Drosophila melanogaster: one gene and its partner. The protein of the gene in region 1 interacts with the protein of each later gene in a pairwise test. Each region holds a gene or a part of one and is shown in the gene's direction. Other genes may lie near its edges.

Region 1 (4,855 bases):
TTTATTATCTATTAAATGTCACTACCCATCCACTTAAGTTACTGTAATCATTTTTGTTGTTTTGACAAATAAATTCCAGTTAAATAGGAAAAAACTAAGCCCTGATTTACTTGCACTCATTTGCAATTAGTTCAGACTCAGTGTGATGGCTTGTCTATTATAGAGACTCCTATAAATAATAATCAGTTCTAGAAATTATTTATATTTATGTTCGTAAAAAACCACAACGATTTAGATTATTTAAATGTAAAAGCTATTAATATTAACAGTTTGCGTTCTCCTGACCAGTCATAAGCGAAGCAAATGTAACTGACATTTGTTACCGTTTATTGTTTGTCACGAACTCAGTTAGATTCACTTCTCTGTTTCAGAGCTGATTTGCGATTGGTCGTTGCTTGGCGGTGTGTCCATGTCGTATACGTAATGTGAAACGGATTAGCTCGTTAAGATCAGATTGGAACCAGCTGTTGAGCAGAAACGGCAGTCACGTTTATAGCTCTCTAGCCCAGCTAGATCGCAAATTAATCCATTATCAGTCACTTTTCTTATCAGCCCAGACAACAACAGACCAACTGACATCGCATCAATTGAGACAGATCCTCCCCCTGTTGAACGATTTCATTATTTCTGAACTTAGTACACACTCAGCTTGTCATGCATATCACCAAGTGTCTATTCAGATTTTCCCACTCCCGGGCGCTCCATTGGGCTTCGCAGAAACTAAATCAGTATGCGATTAGGAGGTGCATCAGTCACCGAAGGCTCAGGTGAGGCGAGATAGTCTGACACTGATAAAGGGCCCGTCCTGCTATGGCACGTTCGTTTTAGCCAGATAGAGCGATAGACGGCGAGCCTTCTGAATCACCTGATGCTGTCTCATCCCCAGAAACTACTCACACTGCACAAAAGTCAGACTTTTCAAGAACAATTTCGATATTACACTCATTCCTTTGCATTGATTTTAAATAATACGTCATTTCCATAATACGACGTTTTGAATAAGTGGACTCATTTGACCGGAAATGGGAAATATACTCACTTCATACTTTTAATAATAATGCGTTCATTCAAGTAGTAACCAACGTCAAGTTCTAATTACGAGAACATATCTTCTTTTGCAATTGAGTCCAATCCAACTCATACGAACTTGAATTCATTATAAAATACGCTGTGATGTATGTAAAAAAATAAATTAGTAATGACTACACTACTACAAATTCTTTCATTGTAAATGTTTTAATTTACAATTCCTTAAATATGAATAAATTTTCTAAACAAAACTAGTTTTAGATAACATAGTATTTATTTGCTTTAGAGCCAATTTCCTGCCTATCTCAATAATGAATAATCTTTCTTCCAAATCAAAAATTATTTATAATCGTTTTTGGCAACAATCATAAGTTAGTGAGGGTCTTAAATACCACGTCAATTCATTTCAGGGTGATTCTATCTTATCGCCCTATTTTCGAGATTTCAGAAGAGCGAGGCTTTAGAAAATCAGGCTAAAGTATTTACGGTTTCCTTTTCACCACGGCAAAATGAACAAAATTTTCCATATTGGAATATAATGAGACCCTAGTGCTTCGCCAATTGTATAATTCTCTCTACTGCCCAATAATTTTCTCAATCAATCAATGCAAATGTGACAGAGTTTACGCATCAATAAATCTTATTTATTTGCGTTCTCAACTAAAAAGGCAAACAGAAAACACGATTTTAGCCAATTTTCAGCTGTGCTTCAGCTTCTTTCCCCCAAAGGGAACACTTGGTAACTCTGTTCCGGGCGGATCTTTGCGAAAATCTTATTTAAATTTAAATCTCCGGCACTTGGATCGAGGCAGTCGGATCGTTGCCTTCAAACGATCAACATCGCAGGGGCTTTATGGCGATAAAGCAGCGCTTTTGATTAGGAACGAGAGTGTATATAGTCCGCGTTCACATCTATATACATATAGTAATCTGGTGCACAAAACAATACAGATAGTGAGCGAGTTATAAAAACTCGTAGTCAGCTCAGCAAATTGCCAATAATAAAAGTGAGTGAAATGCGAAAACAAACTACAAATTAATTTGAAACTGAAAAAGTACCTTTACAAGTAATTGTAATTTGGTTTGTAACTCTCGACTGAAAAATACAACGCGAGCTGAATATACAAAAGCAATTAAATTATAATTTTCAATACAAATTGCTGTGGTTGCTGTCGTTTTCCCTCATATCTGCTGATATTTTCCCTGAGCTTTTTTTATCGCGTTGAAAACGTGAATTCTCGTTATTTTTACCACAGATCAGCGACTTGCGGTGTCAGTGATCTGTGGTCCCTGGGTATTTAGAATTTAAATGGACTTGCGGACAGAAATCCCACACCGAATAGTATATAAACTGCTGTCTAGTGTCAACGCTTCAAGTCTCGTTTTTGCACTGCCAAAAACCACTTTTTTTTTTATTCCAATATGAATTGCAGCTAATTTGAACTGTGAATTTCATTAGGAATCGAGTGAATAGCTGAAAGTAGCTGATCCAGCCCGACTGGAAGATGTACACTTTCTGTTGCTAAACCTATTTAATCTTATCAATATCAATATCAATTTCATTATATTCTTTCTAAGAAAGTTTCTAAGTTCTTTCTATATGTGCACTTCAAGCTGCTGACTTCAACGAGGCAATCAGTTTTTTTTTTTTATCAGTATCCCTGAACTTGTCCAAAAACAAGTTAAGTGCACTTAACTATATAGAGGTGAAATGATTCTTAAAACTGAAGAGCCTTGAATGCCGCTGTATTTCAAGTGAAATTCCATCAGAAGATTACTTCAAGATCTATTTTCAATATCAATGCAATAAACAATGCCCATGATAACGAATATTTGAGTTATCTTCGAGATTAAGTTCAATGCTTTCCAGTTTTATGAGCAATCGATAAACCTTTATTGTCCACTTGAAGATTGAAGATTAAGGCTCCAGTGGTTCATAATGTTACTAGGTCAAATTTTCCCCTTTATTTAATTAAGATTAAAACGCAGTACTTAAGCCACTCAATATGAATCCTTGTATTGCAAATCATTTTATTTAATTTGTTTAACTTAATTACTAATTATTTCCCTCACGCATGAACGTTTCGTTTGCAGCTAACTGCAAACCTTTTTACGATTCAATAACCTTTCGAAGGCCTTTCGATCGGCATTTGAACGGCTAATCAAAGCAAAAACGCACAGTATCTAAAACAAGTTAATTCAACCTGATGCAAGTTAATTCTTAATGACATTACCTGTTTTTGTGTGTCTTGTGTGTTTCTTCGTTTTCCTCGCGGACTTTTCAACATGTCATTCCAAACCCATCAGGCATTTGTTAGAATTTTCGACTAAGCCAACAAACCGTGCTTTATAATGGCTAGTTGAGTGATTAAATTAATCGGCAATTATACGAACGCGTTGAATGGCCCACATAACGATTAAAATCGTCCTTGAATGATTTTGGCAAAGTTTTGTTTTTCAAGCCCAGTTCAAAGATCTGAATTAACTGACTTTTGGCTATTGTATTCAAACAAAAACGTCATGCGAGGCACTTATCACTGCCATCGATGACGACAATGAAATTTTATAATACACATCTATATAAACAAATCATAAAGTCACTGGCAAACATAATAGCCCAACTAAATGGTGAGAGTGCGAATAAGCATTCAGAAAAGTTAATGATTTCGTTCACGCACCTTAAATTGTTGTTTAAACAATAGTTGCTTCATGATCGGGCTGCATTTTTATGATTTATATGGAATTTAAGACGGAATTGTGTGATTTTTGAGTAATGCGGAATCGGAAGTCCACGTAGGGGGGAATTCAAAATTCGAAAAGTTGTTAATACAATAATGTTTTCCAATGCCTGACACGTAGGGCCAGCTGTAGCGCCTGCTATTTGTCATCCATGGTTATCTGAAATGTTTTTCGAAAAGAGCCATAAATCAAATATTGGTTGAGTACGCCGAGCGGAACAAGAAAGTAAATATCTACAAAAAACTCAATGGAGTGTGTCTGGAAGTGTAGTAAGTGTTATAAGTCTATGATCCCAACTTGCAAATGCCGAATATGACTTCGCTAATGGAATCATAAATACTAACCACTTGTGACGTATGTATTAGATCAATGATTTAGTTGCACCTGCTAGTTGCTGTCGTCACAGAAAGATTGAAACAATGAACTTCTCTCTTTGTGGTTCTCATTACCGTGCGGCTCAATTTAAATTGCACAATTGTTTCGCCTATTTGAGTTCCCTTTGTTTTCTGATGCCCCATAGGGTTATATCATCGTAGTGCGATAATTCATCATACACTTAATGTTCCATAAAATACATTTGTACATTTCGTGTGCAATATGGTGGCCTTAGCCGTTCGAGTTTGAGTTCTACTGGCTTCCGATAATGGCTCTCCAAGCTGCGCTTAAGTTTTCCAATCCCATCACATAATCCCCTTTTTGCGACTCAAATTTCCAAATATGACGTATCTGTATATCCATACATTCGTTAATCTCTCGAAAGCAATCCTTATTCAGCGAATCAGTTCAATGAAGACTCGTTATGTCGGTCCACAGAGTGGCATTCGTGCAAAACGTCGCAATTCCGGTCCAGAATTTGGGGCCAGACGACACACGTGTCACTAACACACAACCCACTCTAATTATAGACTTGAAAATGTATCAGCTTGATTAGTTTGGATATAAATAAAATGTCAGGCGAATGTCACCATTCTTCGGTGACCTCAAATCGGGTACAGCGCGATTAAACCGCACTGCAATGCAAATCGCTCAGATATCGGGCTATACTCATTAAATTTCTGGATAACTGGTTAGTTTCCAATTCCAAAAA
Region 2 (4,655 bases), on another chromosome or scaffold:
TGAAGTGTTCTGTGTGCCGGCGCAGCTTTGCCCACCAGATCACCCTAGCAGCGCACATCCGTAAGGTGCACGAGGGCAGCAAAAGGCCCTTCCAATGCGATCAGTGCGAGAAGGCCTACAGTTTCATGGGCGGTCTGTATACCCACATTCGAGAGGTGCATGCCCCCAAGGAGCGACGCCATCCCTGCGACCAGCCAGGCTGCGAGAGAATCTACACCAGCCGCATAGCCATGCAGAAGCACAAAAGGCTGAAGCACAGTCCGCGTGACCGCGATGCTTTGAAGAAATTCATCTGCGAGCAGTGCGGAGCCAGCTTTAACCAGTCGGCGAATCTTAAATACCACCTTAAGACAAAGCATCCCACGGAGGACGAGGTGGCCGCCAGGGAGGGCGGCGCCGGAGAGCGCCATTTCTGCGACATTTGTCAAAAGGAGTTCCATTCACGATACACCCTCAAGTACCACACTTTGCAGCAGCACGAGGTGCAGGAAGAGTTGCCCCACGAATGCCAGGTCTGTGGACGCCGGATGGCCAAGAAGTTCATGCTGCTGCAGCACATGCTGATGCACTCGAACGACAAGTTGCCCTGCGAGCACTGCGGCAGAAGATTTGCCAGGCGATTCGAGCTCGAAGCCCATGTGAGAGCAGTCCACTTAAAGCTGAAACCCTTTCCCTGTCACCACTGTCCGGAGAGCTTTGCTTCTAGGAAAACCCTGCGGCACCATGAGTACATACACACGGGTGAGAAGCCCTACATTTGCGACACCTGTGGACAGGCCTTCCGGCAGCAGACGTGTCTTAAAAACCACCGGAAGGTGCACGAGAAGTAGTCTTAGCTAGCCTTAGTGGAAAAGATTTTAAAATAGACTGATTAAGTGGAAACGTGGCGTCTTTTGAATGTTCTGGAACAGGTAACGCTCTTCGTAGGACATGAAGGTGCTATGCCAACAACCCTTTCCTCAACAAACAGCAGGCATTCACTTAAATAGCTTTAGTCACCAATAACTTGTCTAGTACACAGTGTTATGCAGATTCCGGTGGCTTTGCGGTGGGATCCACCTGTGTGCTGTGTTGCTCCTGTTCGATGTAGACGCGCAAGTCCTCCAGAGGCTTATAGTAAAGGTGAACAGCCTGCGATCCGGCCATCATGGATGCCAGGGCACAGCCGAGGAATTTCAGGTACTGGCCCCAGGAAACTCCGGCGGGCATTTTGCTTAGTTGGTGTTATTCGCGGCTCGCGCCTGCAGATGCTGCTGCTCTTCCACGTAGTTCTTCGCCTGGCGGCGCTTAAAAGTGCGGTCTGCATGGAAAAGATTCCGTATTAGTAAATAAAAGTAAGGTTTTAAGCGTAGCAGTCTCACAGAAATTGGTCTCGCCCACTGTCCAATTGATCATGGAGAATTCCAGGCCGGCGCCCAGTAAAAAGAAGAGCGGCAGGAAGCGGTAGACACCGAAGCGCTTCTTTCCTGGCCAACTGTCCAGCAGACGACGCACGGATCCGCTGTACGGACTCATGTGTTTTCAGCCGGCGGTTATATAATTCCGTGTTGGTTTCGCCAATTTTAAGGCGAGATTCAAAGGTGCCGTGTTTGTGTATTGCCTCCGTCACATGTGTGCGTTAGTTCTGTATATGGTTTAATTGAAAATGTTTAGGCTTGTTCCTTTGTTTATTTATTATTTGCCAAAAGTAAAGGGGAAACTCCACTTGCCTCACGATACAATTTCCATTTGTTCCGGTTCGCAGCAATCAGCTGTTCGATTAGAGATGAGCGAGTGAGCTAGTGATGAGCTGATGTGATGACAACACAACGTTAGTAAATAAATTCATAAGTTAACTATGTATAAGGCCCCTTAAATAAATGTTCGTTTATTTCAGCCTATCTTAATTTCAATTTAATGAAATTATTTAACAGTTACTGAAGCGCTTCGGGAGCATGGTAGTAGAACACCTTCACGCTGTCATCGCTAATGATTCATCCCTGAAAAAAAAACATAGCTTAAACTAGCAAGCAATTTAGGTCGAATTATGATACACAGTCTGTTTATTGTAAACAGCGGCGGGTAAGCCATACCTATAAGTGAAATGTGAAGACGATGTAATACCCATATACCCATATATCCGCATTTCAGCGAGGTCTTCCTGGAAAAGCATTGGCGCTCGGTTGTCTCGAGATCTGTGTGCGAATACTTCCTTGACGCCCAGCGCGCTGCTCCATATGTGAGTCGCCCGTGCCACGTATGGGTTGTATGCTGACCATATCTCTTTGTTGCAGGATGTGCCGCCGGTGATAGCCACGCCCCACTACTACCTGATTACAGTGCAAAGGGACACGGTGTCTTTGGTCGCCGCCTGCAAGCAGGAGGTGCCGCCGCTCTTTGTCATCGAGTTCCTGCATCGCGTGGTGGACACCTTCCAGGACTATTTCGGCGACTGCTCCGAGTCCGTGATCAAGGACAACTATGTGGTCGTTTACGAGCTGCTGGACGAGATGCTCGATAATGGCTTCCCACTGGCCACCGAGAGCAACATCCTCAAGGAGCTGATCAAGCCGCCCAATATCCTGCGCACCATTGCCAACACGGTGACGGGCAAGAGCAAGTAAGTTGAATGATGCTCCCTCCGTCTTTGTCTTTCATTTACCTTAATAATCCAATTAATAATCCGATTTCCGAAGTGTAAGCACTACTTTGCCCTCGGGTCAGCTGTCGGCGGTTCGCTGGCGCAGAAGCGGCGTGAGGTACACCAACAACGAGGCGTACTTCGATGTCATCGAGGAGGTGGACGCTATCATTGATAAATCCGGATCCACGGTCTTTGCCGAGATCCAGGGACACGTAAGTTTCACTTAAGTCTATAAAAATAATTTCTATCTCTTTTATTTTTTTATCAGATCGACTGCTGCATTAAGTTATCCGGCATGCCAGATCTGACGTTATCTTTCATGAATCCTCGCCTCTTCGACGACGTTTCCTTCCATCCTTGCGTGCGCTACAAGCGCTGGGAGGCGGAGCGCCTGCTCTCCTTTATCCCGCCCGACGGAAACTTCCGCCTGATGTCATATCACATTAGCTCTCAGTCCGTGGTGGCCATACCCATCTACATCAGGCACAACTTTTCGATCAAAACGGGTGAGCAGGGGCGTCTGGACCTCACGATTGGCCCGAGGAACACCCTTGGTCGCACCGTTGACAAGGTGAAGCTGGAGCTGACCATGCCGCGGTGTGTGCTTAATTGCCTATTGACGCCGAATCAGGGAAAGTATACCTTCGATTCGGTGACCAAGACGCTGTCCTGGGATGTGGGACGGATCGATGTTTCCAAGTTGCCAAATATTAGGGGATCGGTAAGAATAACTATTGAGACCCTTTACACTTTTACACGATTCATGTATCTAACGTCTTAAATTATTTATATTTTTATCCCATTAATAATATACTGTCCTTGCACGCCTAGGTTTCCATTACGCCCGGTACGACCAACATCGATGCCAATCCATCCGTGAATGTCCAGTTCCAAATCTCGCAGCTGGCCGTCTCTGGGCTAAAGGTAAATCGCCTGGACATGTACGGCGAGAAGTACAAGCCTTTCAAGGGCGTCAAATACCTGACCAAGGCGGGCAAGTTCCAGGTGCGGATGTAGACAAAATCATCATCCGGATTCCAATTCCAGCTTTAATTAATAGCTAACGTTAAGTGTATTCCGCTTGTTTTTTTTTTTTTCATTTGATGTTCTAGCCCTCGTCTCTCTCCCTGTGTATCTCATTTATGTATCTATATCTCTACCCATAAAATATTAACTTCAAGTGTAGTCGCCTTGTCGTTGTTCTTGGACGCCGTCGCCATATTCGAAGAGTAAGAATGCGAGAATTGATTGGGAATGAAGTTGCAAGTCTTCGAGTGGCGTGGCTTGGCATGGCATCGCATGGCAATGGCACCGTCGACTGCACTGCACTCCAAGTCAAGTCACTCCACTCGATCGCAGTGCGCCTGGCAACAGCCAGCGAGGAAACCAATAAATTCAAATGAAAATGCAAAACTTGATTTTGCAGCCAGGCCAACGCATTTAGCATACGAATAGTGTGTATACATCTTGTTTATCAATGTGTGTGAACAATGCGAAGAAGTAGAGACTCGCTAACGTACATTTCTAGGCAAGAGTGCTGAAAAGTGAAAGACTGATCAAATTATCGAGTTGTGACATTACACTATACCCCACGCATTTTGTTAAGAAGAAACCCAAATTCAATTTCTATTTGACTCTTCAATGAGTTTTTCGTTAAATCCCTATTAGAATCAGTTTTTTTTTAATGCAATTAACAAGCACACGAGGTTTCACTGTGTTGCCTCGTTATCTCCTTCTACAAGCTTAGCTGCATTTTTGCCTCTGGCCGAGACCGGTAACCGGTTTGCCCTGCCACGCCCCCGATGCATGCCTTGGACCGCCCCCCTTGACCCATGGCAGCCGCAAGCAGCAACAGCTTCTAGGCTTTTGGGCGCGGCGTGCAACGGTAGCCAACAAGCGCCACCGAAAGGCGACGTCGACCATGGCTAGACATGTTATACACACACACACACACACACAGAGAGAGCCAGCTCTTGAACGGGCACAAAATGTTTGGGGCTCGGACCCCAAACGGGTTGAGAAAATAACTCAG

The links. The genes of interacting proteins can lie anywhere in the genome.
Region 2: the proteins of Treh (region 1) and cm interact in a two-hybrid assay, tested with the Drosophila melanogaster proteins (one large-scale study listed by BioGRID).

Annotation. Positions count from the first base shown.
Region 1 is NT_033778.4:21,078,776-21,083,630, forward strand, and holds the start of Treh (trehalase), read left to right. Parts: upstream 1-1,832; 5' UTR 1,833-2,096; intron 2,097-4,855. UniProt on the Drosophila melanogaster protein: Enzyme that cleaves trehalose to produce 2 glucose molecules that can be used by the glycolytic pathway.
Region 2 is NC_004354.4:7,008,463-7,013,117, reverse strand, and holds cm (carmine), read left to right. Parts: upstream 1-1,972; 5' UTR 1,973-2,026; coding exon 2,027-2,061; intron 2,062-2,130; coding exon 2,131-2,218; intron 2,219-2,273; coding exon 2,274-2,599; intron 2,600-2,675; coding exon 2,676-2,835; intron 2,836-2,891; coding exon 2,892-3,344; intron 3,345-3,454; coding exon 3,455-3,640; 3' UTR 3,641-4,112; downstream 4,113-4,655. Other genes in the region: CG3032 (uncharacterized protein), read left to right, coding at 1-830; sloth2 (sloth 2), read right to left, coding at 1,024-1,209; sloth1 (sloth 1), read right to left, coding at 1,215-1,300, 1,362-1,515.